Linked DNA regions of Saccharomyces cerevisiae S288C. The gene in region 3 interacts genetically with the main gene of each other region. Each region holds a gene or a part of one and is shown on either strand. Other genes may lie near its edges.

Region 1 (5,682 bases), on a different chromosome or scaffold from region 3:
CAGATAACAGGCTTGCCACTGGAAGAAGTGATAAATTGTTGTTCTATTGTGAGGCCTGTACTTATTCGGCGGAGTAGACAACAACGCAGGCAAATGTTATCTCGACGTGAACAACATTCGTACTTCCTCAGAAGTTCTTTTATGAACTCCAATTCATCAGCATCACCTTTTTTCTCTACCAATAGGTCAGCTGATGATCTACATGTACATACAAGGGCATACTCGCTTCATAGCCATTCCGATGGGGAAGGCCAAGATAGGCGGTCGGAACATGAAGAAACGCATAGCATGGGGGCTGATGCCGATACATATCGACAAACTACGTTTATCCCAGACACACCAAATGGTTTGCATTCTAGATCATTAATTGAGTGTGGGATCGAACCCACCCAAGTAAGTGACTCTGGTGAATGGTCGGGTCAAAGTAACGGATATGTTTTGGTGACAGAATTACAGGAGTTTAACAAAATGGGTAAAAAGTTAGTACAAGAAGCTTTTAGGATAGTTTAATAAAGTATGGTTTGTCGTTTTGTTCATCATTCAAGGGTCATTTTTATTTCCATTTATGATTTCTTGAGTACAAAAGGCAAAAAAAACATGTATAATTATACACAAGAAAAAAAAACAAAACAAAAGAACACTTTCACACAAGCAAGTATATATTATGAGAATTTTTTCGAGTCTTACAGAACCATATCTTGCCTCTAAATTTTAGTCTAAAAATTTTGCTAGCCCATCAATTTTTTTTTTGTTCTAATGCAAAATATAACATGGGTAAGAAAAAGAAAAAGCCGTTCCTCAGTACGTAAAGAGATTTGATCATTAACAAGTTGGGCTCAATATACACAGTCGATAGTCTATATGTGCATATGAAACTGGCGCAAGACATGAATGTAGATGAAATATTTCTCAAACAAGCGGCAGAAGCTATAGCGGTAATCTCATCAAGTCCCACTCATACGGACCCCATAATACGAGAGCTACTCCACAGAATTCGACAATCCAGCCCATTGAGCGCAGTTATACCAGCACCAGAAAATGTTTTAAAGGCTGGGGAGCCGGAAAATATGGCTAGAGGTCTTATAAGGATTCCAGAAACACAAACAAAAAGAACAGGAGGTAACAACCATAGCAAGGAAGGCGCACAGCTCTACAGCTGTGCGAAATGTCAGTTGAAATTCAGCAGAAGTTCTGATCTGAGAAGACATGAAAAGGTACACTCACTCGTGCTGCCGCATATTTGCTCAAACTGTGGCAAAGGGTTTGCCAGGAAGGATGCTCTAAAAAGACATTCTAACACACTGACCTGTCAAAGAAACAGAAAGAAACTAAGTGAAGGTTCAGACGTTGATGTAGATGAGCTCATCAAGGATGCGATAAAGAATGGTACCGGCCTGTTGTAAGGCTAGAGGAAAACGTATTTGTCTCCATCAGCACACCTACACATACATATATAGATAGATATATACTTTAGCCATTGAGATAAGTAGAATAAAAAAACGTTGTAATATTCCGATACAGTTAGTGACATGTTCTCTACTTTTGCCAATTTTTTGCGCACAAAGTGGTGACGTACAAGTTCATCATTTCACGTGTGCAGCATAGTGTGGTATATTGTTTTTTTATATTTTATTTTTTATTTTTTTTTTTTTGCAGAAAACAGTGTTTGTATTATATGCTTTAGATATGCTAAAAAAAATGAAAAAAAATGGAACAAAATATGTGTTTTTTTATTTAACGTTAAAATTAAAGATTAAGTTATTTATTCGACGTCAGCATCAAAAGTTTGACCTTCAACTAACTCTGGAATAGCTTCATCCTTCTTTTCAGCATCAGCTGGAGCCTTGGCTTCGTGCTTTTCCATTTGGGCAGCCAATTGAGACAAGGCTTGGATGGCTTCAGGGCCCAATTGAGAGATAATACCTGGGAACAAATCTTGCAAGTTCTTTTCCTGTGGTAGACCGTAGAATACAGAAGTGTTGTGTTGAGCAGCAACTTGGACACCGACCTTGTTGAAGTGCATGACCTTACCGTCGTCCTTGAAAAAGTTGGCTTCGGCGACGTTGTCAATGGTGACAGCGTGCAACTTAGCTAATTGACTTTGCAACTTGGTGTCATCCTTGTTGGCACCGGCAGAAGAGCCTGCCTTCTTGTTAAGCTTTCTTCTAGTACCACCAACTTTGTTGTTAGCAGACAACTTTTGTAGCTTAGCTAATTTTTCTTGGTCAATTGGCATTATGAATTATGAGTCGCGTCTGGTGTGAGATGTTCTATTCTTAAACCTCCCTAGAAAGAATATTCGCTCTCTTGTGACAAAGGAGGGGTTACTACTTAACAAGCAATTGCAGCTGTTTCCACTACGAAATCTTCCAATGTCAACGAAAAAAATTCAAAAATTTTCTGCTTTTTTTTTCAACATCTGCCGTACTAAATGATTCCACAATAATCCATCATATACCATTACCCTGATTCCCATCGAAGAAAAGGCGGTGTCCCCTTACCCGTCCGCTCATGCCAAGAGATTAATTCATAACCGCTCTTCCTTGGATCAGAAGTGAACATATGAAGTTGCAACTACTACATACTTACTACCGTAGTCCATCATCAAGGACCCAAACATTCACGACTCCAGCGCGCCACGTTCTTCGCCATACTGCTTAACATTTTGGTACGAGTGCGAATTAGGGAAGTCGATGATAAAATAGAATATGCGAAAAAGAGGAAGAGCAGCCGTGAGAAAAAAGAAAAAAAAAGGCCTAAGGTATTCTCTACTCCAAAATCGTCGAGGGAGGGCAAAAGAAATTTTTTTTGTTTAAGGGAATTGCGAAGTCAATTGATTGATGAAGTAGCTTCTCTGGAAAAATGGCGGACAGACGCTGCTCAAATAACCGTCGAAGGGGGAAAGGTTATCGGTGGAAACATATTTGTAAGTACATAATAGTGAATTTACTTCTTGTCGGCGTCCCCTAAACGTAATTGGCGGTGTGATGGTACTTCGTTATATAAAGGTGTGTAATATCCTCTTTTACCATCTATTATTTCTTCCAGCATTTCTTGCTGGATAACCTACTGTATCCAAGCTACTGGGCTTTTTTAAACATACCCATAACTTTTTTTTTTTCATTTTTCGTTGCTGTGTGCTAGTACAATTTAAGCAAAAGGAAACTGTTTTGCGTTATGTCTTCCACTGAAGCAAAGCAATACAAGGAGAAACCCTCGAAAGAGTACCTCCATGCCAGTGATGGCGATGACCCTGCAAATAATTCTGCCGCTTCTTCGTCATCTTCGTCTTCTACATCAACTTCCGCCTCGTCATCGGCTGCAGCCGTTCCACGGAAGGCCGCAGCCGCTTCTGCCGCTGATGATTCTGACTCAGATGAAGATATAGACCAATTGATTGATGAACTACAATCTAACTACGGTGAGGGTGATGAATCTGGTGAAGAAGAAGTACGTACTGATGGGGTGCACGCTGGCCAAAGGGTTGTTCCTGAAAAGGACCTTTCTACGGACCCTGCGTATGGTTTGACTTCGGATGAAGTCGCCAGGAGAAGAAAGAAATATGGGTTAAATCAAATGGCTGAGGAGAATGAATCGTTGATTGTGAAGTTTTTGATGTTCTTCGTAGGGCCTATTCAATTCGTTATGGAGGCTGCTGCTATTTTGGCTGCCGGTTTGTCTGATTGGGTTGATGTCGGTGTCATCTGTGCTTTACTGCTATTAAACGCATCTGTCGGATTTATTCAAGAATTCCAGGCAGGTTCCATCGTAGACGAGCTGAAAAAGACGTTGGCCAATACTGCAACAGTTATTAGAGATGGCCAATTGATCGAAATTCCGGCTAATGAGGTAGTTCCTGGTGAGATTTTGCAATTGGAAAGTGGCACAATTGCTCCCGCAGATGGTCGTATTGTCACTGAAGACTGTTTTTTGCAGATCGATCAATCGGCCATCACTGGTGAATCCTTAGCCGCTGAAAAGCATTACGGTGATGAGGTGTTCTCCTCATCCACTGTGAAAACCGGCGAGGCTTTTATGGTTGTTACTGCCACTGGTGACAATACCTTCGTCGGTAGGGCTGCCGCCTTAGTGGGGCAGGCTTCCGGTGTAGAGGGCCATTTCACTGAAGTATTGAATGGAATTGGTATTATCTTACTTGTTCTAGTTATCGCTACTTTGTTGTTGGTCTGGACCGCATGTTTCTATAGAACGGTCGGTATTGTAAGCATTTTGAGATATACTTTGGGTATAACCATCATTGGTGTCCCAGTCGGTTTGCCAGCAGTTGTTACCACGACCATGGCTGTCGGTGCAGCTTACTTGGCTAAGAAGCAAGCCATTGTTCAAAAGTTATCTGCTATTGAATCCCTTGCTGGTGTTGAGATTTTATGTTCTGACAAGACTGGTACTTTAACCAAAAACAAGTTATCTTTACACGAACCCTACACTGTCGAAGGCGTTTCTCCGGACGACTTGATGTTGACCGCTTGTTTAGCTGCCTCTAGAAAGAAGAAAGGTTTGGATGCTATTGATAAGGCTTTTTTGAAGTCATTGATTGAGTATCCAAAAGCTAAAGACGCCCTGACCAAGTACAAAGTTTTGGAATTCCATCCGTTCGACCCTGTCTCAAAAAAGGTTACCGCTGTTGTAGAATCCCCAGAAGGTGAAAGAATTGTTTGTGTCAAGGGAGCCCCATTGTTTGTCTTGAAGACTGTTGAAGAAGATCACCCAATTCCGGAAGATGTGCATGAAAACTACGAAAATAAGGTTGCTGAACTAGCTTCTAGAGGTTTCCGTGCTTTAGGTGTTGCTAGAAAGAGAGGGGAAGGTCACTGGGAAATCTTGGGTGTTATGCCATGTATGGACCCCCCTAGAGATGACACCGCTCAAACAATCAATGAGGCCAGAAACCTTGGTTTGAGAATCAAGATGTTAACCGGTGACGCTGTTGGTATCGCGAAAGAAACGTGTAGGCAATTAGGACTTGGTACAAACATTTATAACGCAGAAAGGTTAGGTCTGGGAGGTGGAGGTGATATGCCTGGTTCAGAGTTGGCTGATTTTGTTGAAAATGCCGATGGTTTCGCAGAAGTTTTCCCACAGCATAAATACAGAGTCGTTGAAATCTTGCAAAACAGAGGTTACTTGGTTGCTATGACTGGTGATGGTGTTAACGATGCCCCATCTTTGAAGAAGGCTGATACTGGTATTGCTGTCGAAGGTGCTACCGATGCTGCCAGATCAGCCGCTGATATTGTTTTCTTGGCCCCTGGTCTCTCTGCTATTATTGATGCCTTAAAGACTTCTAGACAGATTTTCCACAGAATGTACTCCTATGTTGTTTATCGTATTGCCCTATCCTTACATTTGGAGATTTTCCTGGGTTTATGGATTGCTATTTTAAACAACTCTTTGGATATCAATTTGATCGTTTTTATTGCTATTTTCGCAGACGTTGCCACTTTAACTATTGCTTATGACAATGCTCCTTATGCTCCTGAACCTGTGAAATGGAACCTACCAAGATTATGGGGTATGTCTATTATTTTGGGCATAGTTTTAGCTATAGGTTCTTGGATTACTTTAACCACCATGTTCTTGCCTAATGGTGGTATTATCCAAAATTTTGGTGCCATGAATGGTGTCATGTTCCTGCAGATTTCACTAACTGAAAATTGGTTA
Region 2 (5,032 bases), on a different chromosome or scaffold from region 3:
ATAAACATTTAAGCGGCAACGATGAAATTATTGACCTTATTGACAATCTTTTGAGATATGATCATCAAGAAAGATTAACTGCTAAGGAAGCGATGGGACACCCGTGGTTTGCCCCAATAAGGGAACAAATTGAAAAATAAGAAATAAATAATGAATGAAATAAAAAAAAAAAAATCACTGACAAACGATATAACGATTACTTTTTTTTACCATCTGTACAATTGTACTTAATTCTAATAGATTTAAAAAACTAAATACAGGTTTAAAGGGCTTCCTCCATACAACAGAGGCAAGGAGGACTAAGGGGTTGACACGAGCAAATTTCATACATGCAAAATAATAATGTCTTAAAGGTAATTTATACCATAAATGTAGTAACTAAACGAAATAATAACGGCAGAAAAGAAAGGATGCAGCTCGAGTATTTATACACGTATATTACATATATAGTTGTCCTTATCATTCTTGAATGAAACACCGTTGTGCTCACCAAAACTTTGTTATTTTATCTTTTCAGAATTGGGTAATGATTGGTTGTCTGGATCCTTACCACCTTCTACGGGCTTGAGATCTATATCGTCATCGTCAGTATCGCTTCCGAAACGTTGAGAGTATGGCTCGTGCTTGATGGCTATGATCTTACCAGTATCTTTATCCACTTCTGTAACGTCTGAATCGATCATTAAAAGTTCTTCAATGATCTTTAATGAATCCACAGTCATGCTTTCATTTTTGTTGCTACTATTAGTGCCATTAACATTATTATCTGAGTCTTTATTTAGTTTTTCATGTTCACGTAAATGAATTTTGGAGAATTTCTTGAATTTAGAGATTAGTTTTTCATAGTAATTTAACTTTTTCAGTAAAATTCTATTCTCGTCTTTAATTTCGTTAAATTCCTTTTGGAGCTGCAGCTGCGCAACCTTTTTCCTTTGTCTACATTTCGAAGCTGCAATTCGATTTCTTTCTAACAATCTTGCTCTCTTCCATGCCGTAGTACCAGGGATTGGATTTCCCTGTGTGTTCGCCGCTAAATTTAAATGAGATCCTTGAGATTTTGGAGTGAAGCTAGGATTAGAGTGAGATTCCCTAAGTGCAGATTTGCCCCTATTTTCACCTCCAGTAGTTGGCGCAAACGTCGTCATGCCTTCCAAATCACTTATACTCTCCGCTGGAGTATTCTTTGATGGCGCGTTTACAAAATTTCGCTGCTGACTTTTCGAGTAAATAACGCTCTGATCACCCAATGCGGAGTCCTTCGTGGGATTAATAACTTTTTTTGCATTGTATTGTGGAATACTACTAACCGGCACTGCTTGGTTGAAGACCGGCTTGTTTGATACATTCCTAGTTTGGCTCAGACCATTATAATTGTGAAAATTGGGCATCGGGGGCGGCTGTGTGTTGTGCAGGTTTTCCAAAGTTTCAATATCTTCGCCTAGCTGGCTTATTTGACCGTTAGAGATTGATATTCTTCTTCTTCTAATTGGCTCATCGCATCCAGGCAAAGAACTTTGGAAAATTGGTGGATTCGTCATAGGTAAATGTGCTACATCAACACCAAAAGGTTGAAAAAATGGCGACAATGTTTCCAGGATGGATGGATCGTTCAAGGCATGTGGGTTGTTATTCATATTCATGTTCATGAAATACATCTGCTTGTTCACAGAAGCCGTATTGGCGATGTTGGACGCATTAGTCGGGGCTGTAGTAGAATCATTCGGAGCGGACTTACGGGTAGACGACAGTTGGCTCAGATTTGTATGAGTGGCCAGATTCTGATGCATATCCTGTACGACACCAGAATTCATCAGAATATCACCGTAGAGTTGGGATTCCTCTTCAGTTTTCATAGAGGGTGACTGTTGTCGCTGATCCTGCTGTTGCTGTTGTCGAAGGTATGCAGCCTGCTGATAGTTTGAATTGGCGCTGGGTTTAACAACCCGATCATGCGAATTGACGTTTCCAGCTGCAATAGAATATTGTGGGGTTAAAGAATTTCTATTGGAAGTAGTATAATCATGTATTTGGTCAACCACACCAGCCATATTTGTGCTATAGTTTATGTCAGTAGGATCTAAGGATCTACTTAAAGCAGAATTGTTCATAGTAGAAGTGGTGGTGGCGGCGGCAGAAGTATCACTAACAGAGTGCGGTATCTTATTATTCAAGATCTTTGATGTGTCATCAATACCACGTTTATTGTTGTCTTTTTGCTTGTTGGAATTAGAGTCTACGGAATGATACTCCTGACCAGTAAACATTATCCTACCAAAAAGGTGTGGGCTTATACTTTTTTCTTTACTACTTTAGATCTTTTTAGATCCTTTTGAATCTTCCAATTGAAAGACTGCTTTAAAAGCGAGTTTTTGATTTAGAAACACCAACAGATACGTATACACGATAACCTCTATAGCGGTTCTATTTCTGTTAACAAGAAGGTACTTGAAAGTGATAACTCAAAAAACAAGAGTACAATATGAAAATCTTTTGCCTTCATTGTCATTGTCATTGAATCCCCGATTATCATTGTCAGCAATTTCGGAGAAGGGGGCAACTATGTTCCGTGTAAGGTGATATTACTCAAATGTGTCACAATTTCAACTTCTGGGAATAATATTTATAATAGTTGAGATTATTCTTGATTATAGAGGCGACAGCTTATCTTAATTTTCGCCAATAGGTTTGGAAGAACATTGGTATTTTCATTCGGTGCAGCATTTTAATTCAGAATTATAACCGTCCTTGTACGGTTATAACAGCACATTATTGAAAAATGTTTTAAAAATGTTTCAGCCCAGTAATAAAACATTTACATATGCTATCTTGGCCCTTTATATAACATGTAAAGCAAAAAACTAGAACACTAACATGGCTTAAGTAGCTGAAAATCTACACCACTTTTCGATAAAACTAAGAGTACGGCAAAGATGAACAATGTACACATAATTAAACCTTTATCACTTCCACAGAGGTTTTTTAGTTGTATTTTCCATCCTCTATTACTGATATTCTTTACTTCTGTTATTTTAACTATTTGGGGTTCCTTTTCAGTCATTGACATTACAATGGCAAAAATGTCTCACGCACAGGTCAAACGAAATGATACCGTCTCAACCTTTGCATCTATTTCAACTGCTACAGCGACAGCCACAACAACGGCCACAACAACGGCCACAATGACAGCAGTCACAACACAGCATGCCATATATTCTGCCAACAGTTACTCTTTAAATAAAACATTCATTGATAATACAATTGATCAGTATTTCGAAAGCAAACTACGGAGTATTGAATCTACGGTAGGTACGGATATGCAAGAAAAATTCAAGTCATACACAGACGACATACTGGATAATAAACAAAAACTTATCAACGACCAAATAAGTTTGGAAACTGAATTGATTAAGGAAGTTCTTGAGGTAAACAATACAATTTTTAACGAACTACTCACTAAATCACAGCTGATAAATGACACATGGAATGAAATATCAGAAGACGCAATGACCATTGATAAGGATTCCATTTCACAAATGGCATCAAACCTACTGTTAAATTACTCCATGTTTGACAGTATTTTTGGGAACTACTCAAGGAAATTGAAATCATTGCAGAACTTCAATGGCACTATCACTGACTTTTCTACTCAATTAGATACCTCTAGTACCTTAAGTTTGAATTTTCTACGAAATTCCACTGACTGGCTTCAGTTGAAAAGGAACTTTACTGCAAACTTACAGAATGAAATTTCCATTTTATCTGGGGGGAGTACCGAGGTTACATCGTCTACTTCAATAATTAAACGGTCTCTGAAAACAAATAGCGAGGAAAACAGTGTACTAAGTGCAGTAAAAAATCACGTTTTCCGTAAATGTAAGAGAATGACAATAATTTTCACAGTCATGTACTTTGCATTTGTGATTTTGCTCATGGCAATCGAAAGAATTCTGTTTCAGCTGGAAAATCAGCAAGTAAACCTGGTTATGTCCCAAATTAATGGCCTGACAGGACAAACCAATTTTACTAAATACAACAAAGTTTTGAAAAGCTTAATTACTACTCTGAATCTCAGTACACTTTATCCAATTCCCTACCAATTAACAAAGCTTATCAATCAAAAAATATTTAAAAGAGAACCAGAAAAAATCGATGACAAAAAAGTCAAAAAATCAAAACTATTTTACTGTAACTGGTGGATAATCTCAAATGGGGCTCACCTGTGGCTGTTTGGTTTTTTGATGTTATTAATTCATTGGCAGATAGTGACGCGATTAACAAACTTTGAAGTACCCAGTTTGCCTACATTCCACAAAAGAGCGGGACCTTCGCTATACAAAAGGGAAGTTTGGACAGATGGAAATATAACAACTACGATAGAGGGTTTCATTAATGACAGCGTATCATTATTGTGTGAAAATTTCCAAATGGAAGTGAATGAAAAGTTCATTACAGCAAATTTAAGCCTTCAAACTGACCCCAATTTGAAAGTGCAATCAACGGACATCCTAAATCTTTGGGTTAACGACACAAACACTCAGTTTGAAAAATATCTTAATGAGAGTTCTCAAAATTGGCAGGGGATAGACCTGCAGGTTGAGCCTCTGTTAGGCAGCGATTCAATTAATGAGTTCCTGGGTCAGTATTTCCTACCGACATACGAAGTTACGAATACAAATTCTTCATTTGCACTGGACATTCAAAAATATGGTATAATTAATCGAGGAATTAATATAACCAACGCATCGGTAGCGGCATTGTCTTCACTGTCAAAACGCCAAATAAAGGATAAGGAGCAAAAACAAACGTACTTTTTACACACTGTTTATAAGTGGGGACTTTTAGCAGTTTGCCTGACTATATTGTTCCACCACATGCTTATATTTATAATATTAAAGTTGTAAGTATCGTATTATCGTCACCTTCCACGAGCGGTCTCGCAATTTTCGCTGAGTGAAAAACTTGTGAAAGATACCTTGATTTTATGTAATAGTAGCTTAATTCACTTTCATCTGTGCGTAATCTCTAAAACCTA
Region 3 (5,406 bases):
CAATATGTTTCCGTTTTCTCCAAATTCTTAGATGACAGGGGGGACAACGAGTCACTTCAATTGCTCAATGACATAGAATTTACAAGGCTAGGACTGACACCTAGGGAGCCAGTAATTATCAAAGACGTAAAGACAGGGAAGGAGAGAAAATTACATGGACGGTTCCTTCATATTACCGATATTCATCCTGACCCTTATTATGTGGAAGGAAGCTCTATTGATGCAGTTTGTCACACAGGAAAACCAAGCAAAAAAAAGGATGTGGCACCCAAGTTTGGGAAGGCAATGTCTGGATGTGATTCTCCCGTTATTTTAATGGAAGAAACTCTGAGATGGATTAAAGAAAATCTTAGAGATAAGATTGATTTTGTCATTTGGACGGGTGATAATATCAGACATGACAATGACCGGAAACATCCAAGAACAGAAGCACAAATTTTTGATATGAACAATATCGTTGCTGATAAAATGACAGAATTATTTAGTGCTGGCAATGAAGAAGATCCAAGAGATTTTGATGTGTCTGTCATTCCAAGTCTTGGAAACAATGATGTCTTTCCACATAACATGTTTGCACTAGGACCAACTCTACAAACTAGAGAATATTATAGGATTTGGAAAAATTTTGTTCCGCAGCAGCAGCAAAGAACTTTTGATAGGAGTGCTTCATTTTTGACTGAAGTTATTCCAGGGAAGCTTGCTGTCCTGTCAATTAACACGCTGTACTTATTCAAGGCCAATCCGTTAGTTGACAATTGTAATTCAAAAAAAGAACCAGGTTACCAACTTTTACTTTGGTTCGGTTATGTATTAGAAGAACTAAGGAGTAGGGGAATGAAAGTATGGTTAAGTGGACATGTACCTCCAATCGCAAAAAATTTCGATCAGTCGTGCTACGATAAGTTCACGCTATGGACTCACGAATACAGGGATATAATCATTGGAGGATTATACGGTCACATGAATATTGACCACTTCATCCCAACGGATGGTAAAAAAGCTAGAAAATCGTTATTGAAAGCCATGGAGCAATCCACTCGTGTTCAACAAGGAGAAGACAGTAATGAAGAGGACGAAGAAACTGAATTGAATAGAATTCTGGATCACGCTATGGCGGCAAAAGAAGTTTTTTTAATGGGAGCGAAACCATCTAACAAAGAAGCATATATGAACACCGTCCGCGACACATACTATCGGAAAGTGTGGAATAAGCTGGAAAGAGTGGATGAAAAAAATGTTGAAAATGAGAAGAAAAAGAAAGAAAAGAAGGACAAAAAAAAGAAAAAGCCAATCACTAGAAAAGAGCTCATTGAACGCTATTCCATTGTGAACATAGGTGGTTCAGTCATTCCAACTTTCAATCCTTCCTTTAGGATCTGGGAATATAACATCACCGACATAGTGAATGACTCCAATTTTGCAGTTTCGGAGTATAAGCCCTGGGATGAATTTTTCGAGTCACTAAATAAGATTATGGAAGACTCTTTGCTAGAAGATGAAATGGACAGCAGTAATATCGAGGTTGGGATCAACCGCGAGAAGATGGGCGAAAAGAAAAACAAGAAGAAAAAGAAAAATGACAAGACTATGCCAATTGAGATGCCAGACAAATACGAACTCGGCCCTGCATATGTACCGCAGTTATTCACTCCGACGCGTTTCGTCCAATTCTACGCCGACTTGGAAAAAATCAATCAAGAATTACATAATTCATTTGTTGAATCTAAGGATATTTTCAGGTATGAGATAGAATATACCTCAGACGAGAAACCATACTCAATGGATTCGTTAACAGTAGGAAGTTATTTGGATCTTGCAGGCAGATTATACGAAAACAAACCTGCATGGGAAAAATACGTCGAATGGTCATTTGCGTCTTCTGGATATAAAGATGATTAAGTTAATATACACATAGAAATGCATATCATTCTTCAATTACAGTTTCTTTTTCTTTTGTTACACTATTCTTTCAAGTCAATTTCATAATAATACAAAACCATCTTTCTTATCATATATAGGGTGATGTATTTTTAATTATTTAATAGGGCCTAGCGTTATCGTGCGAAGATTAATTATTGGCATTTTTGAAATACTCCTTGGAATCTTTAACGTCAGGTTTGATGGTGGCGGCTCCTGGGGTCCAGTTGCATGGCAAAACTGTACCATTTTTGTCAGTCCACTGGAAACCTTCGACTAATCTCAAAGCTTCATTGACGTTTCTGCCAACAGATAAATCATTGATAGTGATATGTCTAATGATTCCCTTCGGGTCGATTATGAACAAACCTCTTAAAGCTATACCTTCTTTTTCAATCAAAACGCCATAGTCTCTGGATAAGGAATGATTCTTATCAGCAAGCAAAGGAACTTTAACTGGACCTAATCCACCGTCTTTTCTGGGAAGGTTGGTCCATGCCAGTAAGGAATATTCAGAGTCGGTGGAGGCAAATAAAACTTGGGCGCCCTGATCTTCGAATTTCTTGGCGGCATCGGAAAACGCAACAATCTCAGTTGGACAGACAAATGAAAAAGCCAATGGGACAAAAGCTAGAACAACGTACTTACCTTTATACTTTTCCAGTGAAATTTCCTCGAAGATACCGTCGACTACGGCGGTTTTCTTAAATGGTGGGGCTTGTTTTTGAACTTCTGCTACCATGATTGGTTTTTTACGTTCTTGTAAGGCTAATATATTCTTGAGCAAAAAACAGTAATAGTGTTCACTTTGGATATTTCAAGATAAACAATGTAAGTAGCAAAAAACAATCGAAATTACAAAATATATTCTTACAATCGTCTGCTCTAAATACGTTAATCTAAATCTCATCCATAGTTGATCCTTGATTACTCGGGTAACAAACACCTTAGCAGATGTGTAAGAGAAAGGAGAGCCTCGCCCGCTCCTAAACGACGCCAATTGTAAGGGGGGATCAGCCCTTCCAACCCCCAATGACTAAAACTTGTAAACTAGAGGGGCGCATATAGTTAAGATAATCAGATACTGGCCCAATATGATATTGTCTAGATCTTGAGGATGACCAACCAACAGATTCCTGGCCACAGTATCCGTGGTCATTGATTTTGGCACTTGGAAATTCAAGAGATGGTTCTAGTCGTCGTAGCGCTTACTAACAAAAAAAACTAGCATAAGCCCGTTGAGAACTTTTACACTATATTAATTGAATAATTGGACGTTTTGTCGCTTTGCGACAGCACTCTCCTACCAGGTACATACTTAGTAATGTCTATATAGGGCTACATCATTTTTCTGCAAAGATAAAATCCTTCAATTCCTTGTAGGCCTTGTCCAAATCATCATTGACAATAACTTTGTCATGGGCACCTGTCTCAGCATATGCCAATTCAGCTTGAGCGGCGCTTAACCTCTTGTTGATGGATTCTTCGGTCTCCGTACCTCTACCTTCTAATCTTTTTTTCAAATCCTCGACCGATGGTGGAGCAATAAACAAAAACCTGGCATTTAACTCTGGGATAGCCTTGACAGATTTGACACCCTGCATATCAATATCTAAAATACAAGTCTTACCAGATTTACTGACTTGTTTGACGGAAGCGACAGTACTACCATAGTAGTTACCGGAGAATTGCGCCCATTCAATGAATTCATTGTTCTTAATCATAGATTTGAATTCATCTACGGAGACAAAGTTATAGTCCTTACCGTTTACTTCGCCAGCTCTTGGGGTTCTAGTAGTGGATGAAACACTAAACCCGAAAGAATCTGGGTATTCAGCGAACAATTTCTTCAACAGTGTAGATTTACCTGTACCACTTGGGCCAGAAATTACGATAGGACGGGACATAACGCAAAGGTTTACTAATCTTTATCCGAAGTAAACTGTAGTTATCAACTAAAAAGAAACGCCATTGTGTATCCATTTATGCTAAATGTATTTTTTTTTTTCTTTTTTATGTGTTTCCAAGCTTTTTTTCGAAATTTGGAATGTACCGATGAGTACGGTTGCTATTAGCATCGACGCCGCCGGAAAGACGCATCACATATTTCGAGAACCGAAACTTCCTGTCGATATAACCTACACTTCAAATAGCTATCATTTCGAATCGTCGCAGTTTTGACAATCACATTTATACACTTACTGTCGTTTTTTATGTAAAGGCTGTGAAAATTTCACCTTATTAATGCTTATAGAGCAGAGTTTAGGATGAATTTTGCATTGTAGCCTGCCGTGAGCACACACAAGGAGTAGCAGAGCAGTAGTCTTGCCAAAGGATTATGACAGATGATATACCTTGCACAAACGTGATAGCAAGGAACTGCAAAAGTTGATATCGAACAATCATTATTCACGGTGTGACTTTTTCTGTTTCCGTTGCTTTTCTAGCTACTCTAAGATAAAGGGCACCCAAGATTGACAAATAGTTGTAGATTAAACATAGATTGCAAGCAGTGAAATTCAGAGGATAATCTTTTATCGCTGTCAGTACATACCATATGAAAAATGCTATCCAAGGTATTGCTGAATATAGCTTTCAAGGTGCTGTTAACCACCGCCAAGAGAGCAGTTGATCCTGACGATGATGATGAACTTCTACCTTCCCCGGATCTCCCGGGTAGCGATGACCCTATTGCAGGTGATCCTGATGTAGACTTAAACCCTGTTACAGAAGAAATGTTCTCTTCATGGGCATTGTTCATTATGTTGCTCCTATTGATCTCTGCATTGTGGTCTAGTTACTATTTAACTCAGAAACGAATTAGGGCAGTGCATGAAACTGTGCTTTCTATTTTTTATGGTATGGTTATTGGCTTGATAATAAGGATGTCCCCCGGGCATTATATTCAAGATACGGTTACTTTTAATTCATCCTACTTTTTTAATGTTCTATTGCCGCCAATTATTTTAAATAGTGGGTACGAGTTGAATCAAGTGAACTTTTTCAATAATATGTTATCTATCTTAATTTTCGCCATACCGGGCACCTTCATATCTGCTGTGGTTATTGGAATCATATTGTATATCTGGACCTTTTTAGGACTAGAGAGTATTGACATTTCATTCGCAGATGCAATGTCTGTTGGTGCTACATTATCTGCTACCGACCCTGTTACAATTCTTTCAATTTTCAATGCGTATAAAGTGGATCCTAAGCTATATACCATCATTTTTGGAGAATCACTGTTAAATGATGCCATCTCTATTGTTATGTTTGAAACCTGTCAAAAATTTCATGGTCAACCTGCAACATTTTCGTCGGTTTTTGAAGGGGCAGGCCTCTTTTTGATGACTTTCTCCGTTTCGTTGTTGATAGGCGTTCTTATAGGAATTCTTGTTGCTCTTCTGTTGAAACACACTCACATAAGGCGCTATCCTCAAATTGAGAGTTGTTTGATCTTGTTGATTGCTTATGAATCCTATTTTTTCT
Region 4 (7,463 bases), on a different chromosome or scaffold from region 3:
GGCCAACTTGTTTGTTCAAAATTTCAAGATTTATCAAGACAGAGCCACACCAGATGTATTAGCCGCTGGTCCTCAATTCGAGTAAACGAAACATGTTCGTTCGATATGTTCAATCCAAAAAAAAAAAAAAGAATTAGAATTATTTCGACATCATAAATGTTCGTAATATATTATTTTGTCAATTTTTTCTCTTCCCATTTCAGCTTTTTTTTAATAACTGAAACTGGATCAACAAGCACATGTTTTTCTAATTAATCTTTCAAACATATTTATGTATATACATAAGGAAAATTCAAAAATCCGATGCAATTAACAGAATTCTTCTTCATAGTTCTCTTCATCCATTCTTTCGTAGAATAAGACGTATACCTCATCGCTAGACATTTCTGTTTTGCCGGCTTCAAAGTTGTTGCGATCCTTGCGATGTTGCTGTATATAATCGTCATCAAATGTAACCCAAACTTGTCTATTCAGTCCAATTTCATGGCTCTTTTCTTTGTTCACAACAGAAGTATAGTGTCCATTGATAAGGTTACCGGAATGATTCACCGTTCCATATAACTTGTATCGAATCACTTTACCGTTCTTTAAAATAATGTTCAATATCAAAGGGTAGGTTATTACAGTGCTGTTTTTTTTTGTTAAATCATAATAGAACCTTGATAAATGAATGACAAGTATCGGAGGTAAAACTATAAAGTCTAAACTCTTAATCGTGGTTAACTTTTTAGAATTTCGCTTCTTTGCATTTTTTGTTGAATCATCGCTGCTATGGTGATGATGGTGATGATGGTGGGGTGATTTTGACCTTGATCTGGAATGAAAACCGAATATGGTTGATTTTTTCTTCTGGCTAGTAATTTCTTCTTTTTTGGATTTAGAATCAGTAATTCTACAATTAGGACAATCCCAAGCATTGTCGCCTGACAGTTCTTCATCGCCTGTAAATAAGTTTATGCAATCCTCTAATTTAATTTTTCTCGACTTACTTGTAAAGCTATACAATGATAGTTTTGGAATCGCAAGTGACAGAACATAGAAGGTAGAATAGCTATAAGAAGAATTACCACAGCGCTGACATTTCAAAATGTTCTCCAACTGCCCTCGATATATGTGATCAATTGGAGATAAACCATCAGTAATAACATTTCTCTCGTACCATTTCTCGTATTTGGATGGGTTAACTTGTAAAGCATTCGCATCATATGACACTAGATCTGGATAATACTTGACAACATTTTCGTTCGAGAGCTCTTCATGTATTCGTGCTAAAACTATTAGTAGAAATTCCTGTGTATCCTGTTGATCATCTGGGATGTTCAAATCTGGCCTTAACTTCTTGCACATTTTTAAGAATCTATTTGGTATAATCGCTCTTCCTCCATTCAAATACATTTTTTTGAACAAAACGTAAATCGAGCGGGAAAGTTGGACTTCTTTCGGATATTTGTTAGTATTGAGGAATAGCCTATATTTCTTGGTTAAAAACAAATCCCGAAATAAGGTAGTGCCAAACAGACATTGAATTATACTGTTAATATAGCATGTATTGCATGGATTTTGCAGGCCAGTAATAGATAACTCTGATAACAGATCATTAGAATCTTCAATTACTGGTAGATTGTAAGCTTTCGGGGCCGAAGATTCTATGGCCTCGATCTTTCCTTCTTCCTCCTTTGGCTTTTCCACCTTGGATAAAGAGGATGAAGAATCTTGGCTAGAATCTCTGATTTGTGACGAAACCTCCAAGGAGTGCACGGGGGGAGCAGTTGCTGGACTAGACAGCGTTTTGAATAATGCATCCTTTCCAGTACTGAGTTTTAAATACGAGGGTTTTGATAATGCTTCTTTGCTTGTGTAGTACGCCACTTCAGAACCAGCTTCCAATTTATTACTTGATGCTATCTGATTACTTTCCCTGACTATGTCCTCTTTCGAATTATCATTTGTTGGTTTTGTTAGCTCATTCGGTATTTCATGTAGTGAGCCATCAAACTTGTTATGTATTGACAAAGAGGCCATATGAACAGGTAAAGGCCGTAGCGGTAAGGAGTAGGCTCTTTTTCTTTTTATGGTCCTGCAAATTCCGTTTGACTCCGCTAAATACCGGTCAACAATAACAGTACTTTCATCTCTTACCACTTTTAACACATAACCCATCACGTGTTCGTCTTGATAGTCGTTTTTTAGCTTTGCGTAACTGCTGTAGAGATTATTTCTTGTTTGGAATTGTAACGATTGTGGAATAATAAGGTACAGATAATAACAACCAATAATAAATGCTGTCAAAGCTTCCATTTCCTGATTGATTTCTAAATCCCTCAGGTAAACATTAAACAGATGAGCAGCATGGTCTAACAATCCTCTTAAGTTCTTTAGCCGTAATTGCGAATAAAACTGTTTAATATCTACTTCATATACTTTTCGAACTAGGTTTAGAATTTGATCTGGGTTTAATAACATTGTCTTTATGACTTCCGATTTAGCGAAAAGAAAACGGAAAGTAAGATCAATGCCACGGTTATTTAGTTTACTGAAGATCCTGAAAGACTACTAGCAGTAGCAGTAACCTTTCAGAGCTTATAATCAACCTAATGATTACTCAGCGCACAATCTAAAAGGGTTTCTCAACTAATTCTCGAAGAAATGTCAATCCCTTTTTTAAGCACTCCGGAAAAACTTTATAATAGATGTGGGGAAATCACCTTTGACGATGTGCAACGGAGAAACTATTTTTTTTTTTCTTTTTTTCTTTTTTTTTTTTTTTTTGGTCCGAACAATGCGATGAGCCAGACGAAGAAAAAAATAAAAAATGAGAATGAGTAATTATGTTAAGACCTTTAGAAGAAATAGGGTCCAGTCACAGAATAAAGCCCCAGGAAACTTTAAAGCAATCGAAATTAACCAGCTATATTTATATAATAAGAAATTTTTCTTATTAGTTTACTATAAAGGACTAGTGTACGTTTTTTGTGTTTAATTATTTGCTTTCTGATAATCCGGTTTGCTGATTTGAATCGTTCTCTGCAACAATTGTTGATCTCTAGTGGGGTAAACAAAATTAGTTTTGTTTAAAACTTTTGTTGTAGCGTTTTTGCTCTTTTTTTTTTATCGCAGAATACATTTTATCGAGAATGTCGAATATAAGTACCAAAGATATACGAAAAAGTAAGCCAAAAAGAGGATCCGGCTTCGATTTACTTGAAGTGACTGAATCACTTGGCTATCAGACACACAGGAAAAATGGAAGAAATTCATGGTCAAAGGACGACGATAATATGCTACGATCGCTAGTAAACGAATCCGCAAAGGAGTTAGGCTATGAGAATGGACTTGAAGACGTAAAAACAATTCAACAATCCAACCATCTTTCTAAATGTATTGCTTGGGATGTTTTAGCTACACGATTCAAACACACCGTAAGAACTTCAAAGGATGTAAGAAAGCGTTGGACAGGATCTCTGGACCCAAACTTGAAGAAAGGTAAATGGACACAAGAAGAGGATGAGCAGCTCTTGAAAGCTTATGAAGAACATGGGCCTCACTGGCTGAGTATCTCCATGGATATCCCTGGAAGAACAGAGGATCAATGTGCGAAAAGGTACATTGAAGTGTTGGGACCTGGAAGTAAAGGTAGATTAAGAGAATGGACGCTCGAGGAAGATTTAAATCTGATAAGTAAAGTGAAGGCATACGGCACGAAATGGAGAAAGATTTCGTCGGAAATGGAATTCAGACCAAGTTTAACGTGCAGGAACAGATGGCGGAAAATTATTACTATGGTTGTGCGAGGACAAGCATCAGAAGTAATAACAAAGGCTATAAAAGAAAACAAGAACATAGACATGACAGACGGAAAACTCCGACAACATCCAATCGCCGATTCTGATATACGCTCAGATTCTACACCGAATAAAGAAGAACAGTTGCAGCTATCTCAACAGAACAACCCTTCATTGATAAAGCAGGATATATTGAATGTTAAAGAGAACGAATCGAGCAAACTACCAAGATTAAAGGATAATGATGGACCCATTTTAAATGACAGCAAGCCACAAGCATTACCTCCCTTAAAAGAGATATCTGCACCTCCACCAATCAGGATGACGCAAGTCGGTCAGACTCATACCAGTGGTAGCATTAGGAGCAAAGTATCTTTACCAATTGAAGGTCTTTCTCAAATGAACAAGCAAAGTCCTGGAGGAATCTCAGATAGCCCACAGACAAGCCTTCCCCCAGCATTCAATCCAGCATCTCTCGATGAGCATATGATGAATAGTAATAGTATTTCAGATTCTCCGAAGCATGCTTATTCTACTGTGAAAACTAGAGAACCAAATTCCTCTAGCACACAATGGAAATTTACATTAAAAGATGGTCAAGGTTTGTCAATTTCTAACGGAACTATTGACAGCACAAAATTAGTAAAAGAATTGGTTGACCAAGCTAAGAAGTACTCTTTAAAAATTTCGATACATCAACATATTCACAATCATTATGTTACATCCACAGACCATCCTGTCAGCAGCAATACTGGATTGTCAAATATAGGAAATATAAATGGAAACCCTCTATTAATGGATAGTTTCCCACATATGGGTAGACAACTGGGAAATGGTCTTCCAGGGTTAAATTCAAATAGTGACACTTTTAACCCAGAATATAGGACTTCTCTGGACAACATGGATAGCGATTTTTTATCAAGAACACCCAACTATAACGCATTCAGCTTGGAAGCAACTTCACACAATCCCGCTGACAATGCAAATGAACTTGGTTCACAAAGCAATAGAGAAACAAACAGCCCGTCTGTATTTTATCCTCAAGCAAATACATTGATCCCAACTAATTCTACCGCTACAAATAATGAAATCATTCAAGGAAACGTTAGTGCTAATAGTATGTCACCGAATTTCAATGGAACAAATGGCAAGGCACCAAGTTCGACGGCATCATATACAACGAGCGGTTCAGAAATGCCACCTGATGTAGGTCCTAATAGAATAGCGCATTTCAACTATTTGCCACCAACTATACGGCCTCATTTAGGCTCATCAGATGCGACAAGAGGTGCTGACTTGAATAAGTTACTCAATCCATCTCCAAATTCAGTAAGAAGTAACGGCAGTAAAACTAAGAAAAAAGAAAAAAGAAAAAGTGAATCATCTCAGCATCATTCTTCATCATCTGTGACAACCAATAAATTCAATCACATTGATCAGTCGGAGATATCAAGGACTACATCCAGATCTGATACTCCATTGAGAGATGAAGACGGCCTGGATTTTTGGGAAACGTTAAGATCCTTGGCTACTACGAATCCAAATCCTCCAGTTGAAAAGTCAGCTGAAAATGATGGTGCCAAGCCTCAAGTGGTACATCAAGGGATTGGCTCACATACAGAAGATAGCAGCCTAGGTTCCCATAGCGGAGGATACGATTTTTTTAACGAACTGTTGGATAAAAAGGCAGATACACTGCATAATGAGGCTAAGAAGACGAGCGAGCATGATATGACGTCAGGAGGTTCTACCGATAATGGGTCAGTCCTGCCACTGAATCCTAGTTGAGAAGGCAAGGCCGAAAAAAAACACAAATCTTTCAATTGTTTAACATATTAGTTTTGTAATAAGCATAAGTGTATATTATACATAGCACAAGATGGATAATATTCTCTGAAAAAAACGTGTAGTTTCATGACTCGCATTTTTTTTTTTTTTTCTTTCATGTTGATTAACATACTTGAATTCTGTATTTAAGCTGTATAAAAAGTTGTTCTATTTCATATACGGCGATTTTGCATAATTAAGAACTTTGCCTTGTACACTATTTTACTAGGGTATTCTTCCAAGATTTCTCTTCTTATTTTTTCCCTTTATAAGTCATTGTAGCAACATAATTTCCTGGAAATTTTAAGGGAATATATTTCTTTCCGCCCACAAACACAAAGGGCGTTTAGTAAATTATGCGGCGATGTATAAAAGAGAAAGCAGGCAAAAAGAAAATGAAAAATGAGACTATGAACTTTAAGAATTATGTCTTGACTAATTTTTTAAAACCCATCATCCATGAAGAGTTCTGTTTGTATTGTTTACGTTTGATGTTTGAAGTGAATTTAATAGAATTGTTCCTCTTTTTTTCTTCTTTTTTTAACTATAATATAATGTTTAGTATATCAACAGTACTATTTAGGCCTTAGACTTTCTATGAACTCTCTCTTACTCTGTGAGTAGTTGGTAAATTCGTTTTCGTATTGATCTTCCTCAGCAATTTCCCCGATATTGCCCACATCATAGTTATTCTGTAATTTGTATAAATCCTTATCTTTATCTGTTATTGCAGACCTGCTATCCTTTACCGAGTGGTCAGCATCCATTCCTTCGTTATCTTTATCAAAAGTGTTTGGTAACTGTGATTGAGCCGCACTTTTGGGTGTTGCAAACACATCCTCTAGGGCATCGCGCTTATTTACCGATGTTATAGAGGAATTCCTTGTATGGAAGGACGCGTTTGAAATGTTACCATTTAAAAACGAGGATGAAGCTCTCCTTGGGTAATACGAACCAAAGTCCTGATTCTGCAAATTTCTTATCAGATTTTCATTACTAGATTGGCGAGTATTATGTTTAAGTTCTATCATCGAAGCTTTGTTTTGGTCATTGCTAGTATTAGTATCACTGGAAGGATCTGCGAAAAAGTTTGGTCCTTCATCAGAAATAACAGGGACCATCTGATCATAAACGCTGATCTGTCTCTTTGTTATATGCCGTTGGGAAGATGATAAGGAAACATTGGAGCTGTTATTTATACTTGGTAAATCCACAACGGACTTCTGCCTGGCATTATTGCCGTAGTTATTATTTCGTACTTGAAGTAAATTTATTTTCCTACGGTATGCTGGCACATAGTATTTACTATTCTTTTTCCCTAACGGTTTCTCTTGATCTCGCGATTTTCCATCTTTTTCTTCTGGATGAGCAGATCCTTCCGATGAACCAGAAGTGTGATCAGGATTTTTTAGCTCGGAGCTGGCTAGTGCTGCTTCATCTTTACTGTCTCTTAAGGGTCCAAAATTGTCAAAGGACACGAAACCACTTTCATCATAAATAGCCCTTTCCAATTCTCTATCGTCTTGTTCCTCCCTCTTGTATCTTTTTTGTAGGTTAAACCAGAAACATACTGCTATTATAATACCTACACCGACGGGTATACCCACCGCACAACCCACCGCAACTGATGTGCTGGCAGTCATCTCTTTTACTTCTTACTACGATGAGCTCCCAAAAAAAAAATATATCCCTGATAAATAACACAAAACTAAGAAGCCGGACCTAGGTGAAGAGTAAAATAAGGACTCGAAATTTTGTCTAATACTCAATAACTCAGTACAAAAACTGCCTCACAGTATAAAATATCCAACTTAGAGATATTCGTTTTAATTGTCCCGAGCAGGCAAACGATAA

The links.
Region 1: mutations in TSA2 (region 3) and EGD1 together harm fitness more than expected from each alone (negative genetic interaction), as found in Saccharomyces cerevisiae (2 studies listed by BioGRID).
Region 2: mutations in TSA2 (region 3) and CST6 together harm fitness more than expected from each alone (negative genetic interaction), as found in Saccharomyces cerevisiae (2 studies listed by BioGRID).
Region 4: mutations in TSA2 (region 3) and BAS1 together harm fitness more than expected from each alone (negative genetic interaction), as found in Saccharomyces cerevisiae (2 studies listed by BioGRID).

Annotation. Positions count from the first base shown.
Region 1 is NC_001148.4:479,666-485,347, forward strand, and holds EGD1 (Egd1p), read right to left. Parts: upstream 2,237-5,682; coding exon 1,763-2,236; downstream 1-1,762. Other genes in the region: YPL039W (uncharacterized protein), read left to right, coding at 1-510; YPL038W-A (uncharacterized protein), read left to right, coding at 517-708; MET31 (Met31p), read left to right, coding at 870-1,403; H(+)-exporting P2-type ATPase PMA2, read left to right, coding at 3,178-5,682. UniProt on the Saccharomyces cerevisiae protein: Component of the nascent polypeptide-associated complex (NAC), a dynamic component of the ribosomal exit tunnel, protecting the emerging polypeptides from interaction with other cytoplasmic proteins to ensure appropriate nascent protein targeting.
Region 2 is NC_001141.2:282,898-287,929, reverse strand, and holds CST6 (Cst6p), read right to left. Parts: upstream 2,265-5,032; coding exon 501-2,264; downstream 1-500. Other genes in the region: casein kinase 2 catalytic subunit CKA1, read left to right, coding at 1-140; pheromone-regulated protein PRM2, read left to right, coding at 2,931-4,901. UniProt on the Saccharomyces cerevisiae protein: Transcriptional activator of promoters containing ATF/CREB sites. Can independently stimulate transcription through ATF/CREB sites. Important for a variety of biological functions including growth on non-optimal carbon sources.
Region 3 is NC_001136.10:1,363,004-1,368,409, forward strand, and holds TSA2 (thioredoxin peroxidase TSA2), read right to left. Parts: upstream 2,660-5,406; coding exon 2,069-2,659; downstream 1-2,068. Other genes in the region: PPN1 (endopolyphosphatase), read left to right, coding at 1-1,899; GUK1 (guanylate kinase), read right to left, coding at 3,261-3,824; bifunctional K:H/Na:H antiporter NHX1, read left to right, coding at 4,482-5,406. UniProt on the Saccharomyces cerevisiae protein: Thiol-specific peroxidase that catalyzes the reduction of hydrogen peroxide and organic hydroperoxides to water and alcohols, respectively.
Region 4 is NC_001143.9:632,717-640,179, forward strand, and holds BAS1 (Bas1p), read left to right. Parts: upstream 1-3,134; coding exon 3,135-5,570; downstream 5,571-7,463. Other genes in the region: phosphoenolpyruvate carboxykinase PCK1, read left to right, coding at 1-85; ubiquitin-specific protease UBP11, read right to left, coding at 310-2,463; SKG1 (Skg1p), read right to left, coding at 6,185-7,252. UniProt on the Saccharomyces cerevisiae protein: Activates HIS4 transcription only in combination with PHO2/BAS2. BAS1 is also involved in the regulation of the purine biosynthesis pathway.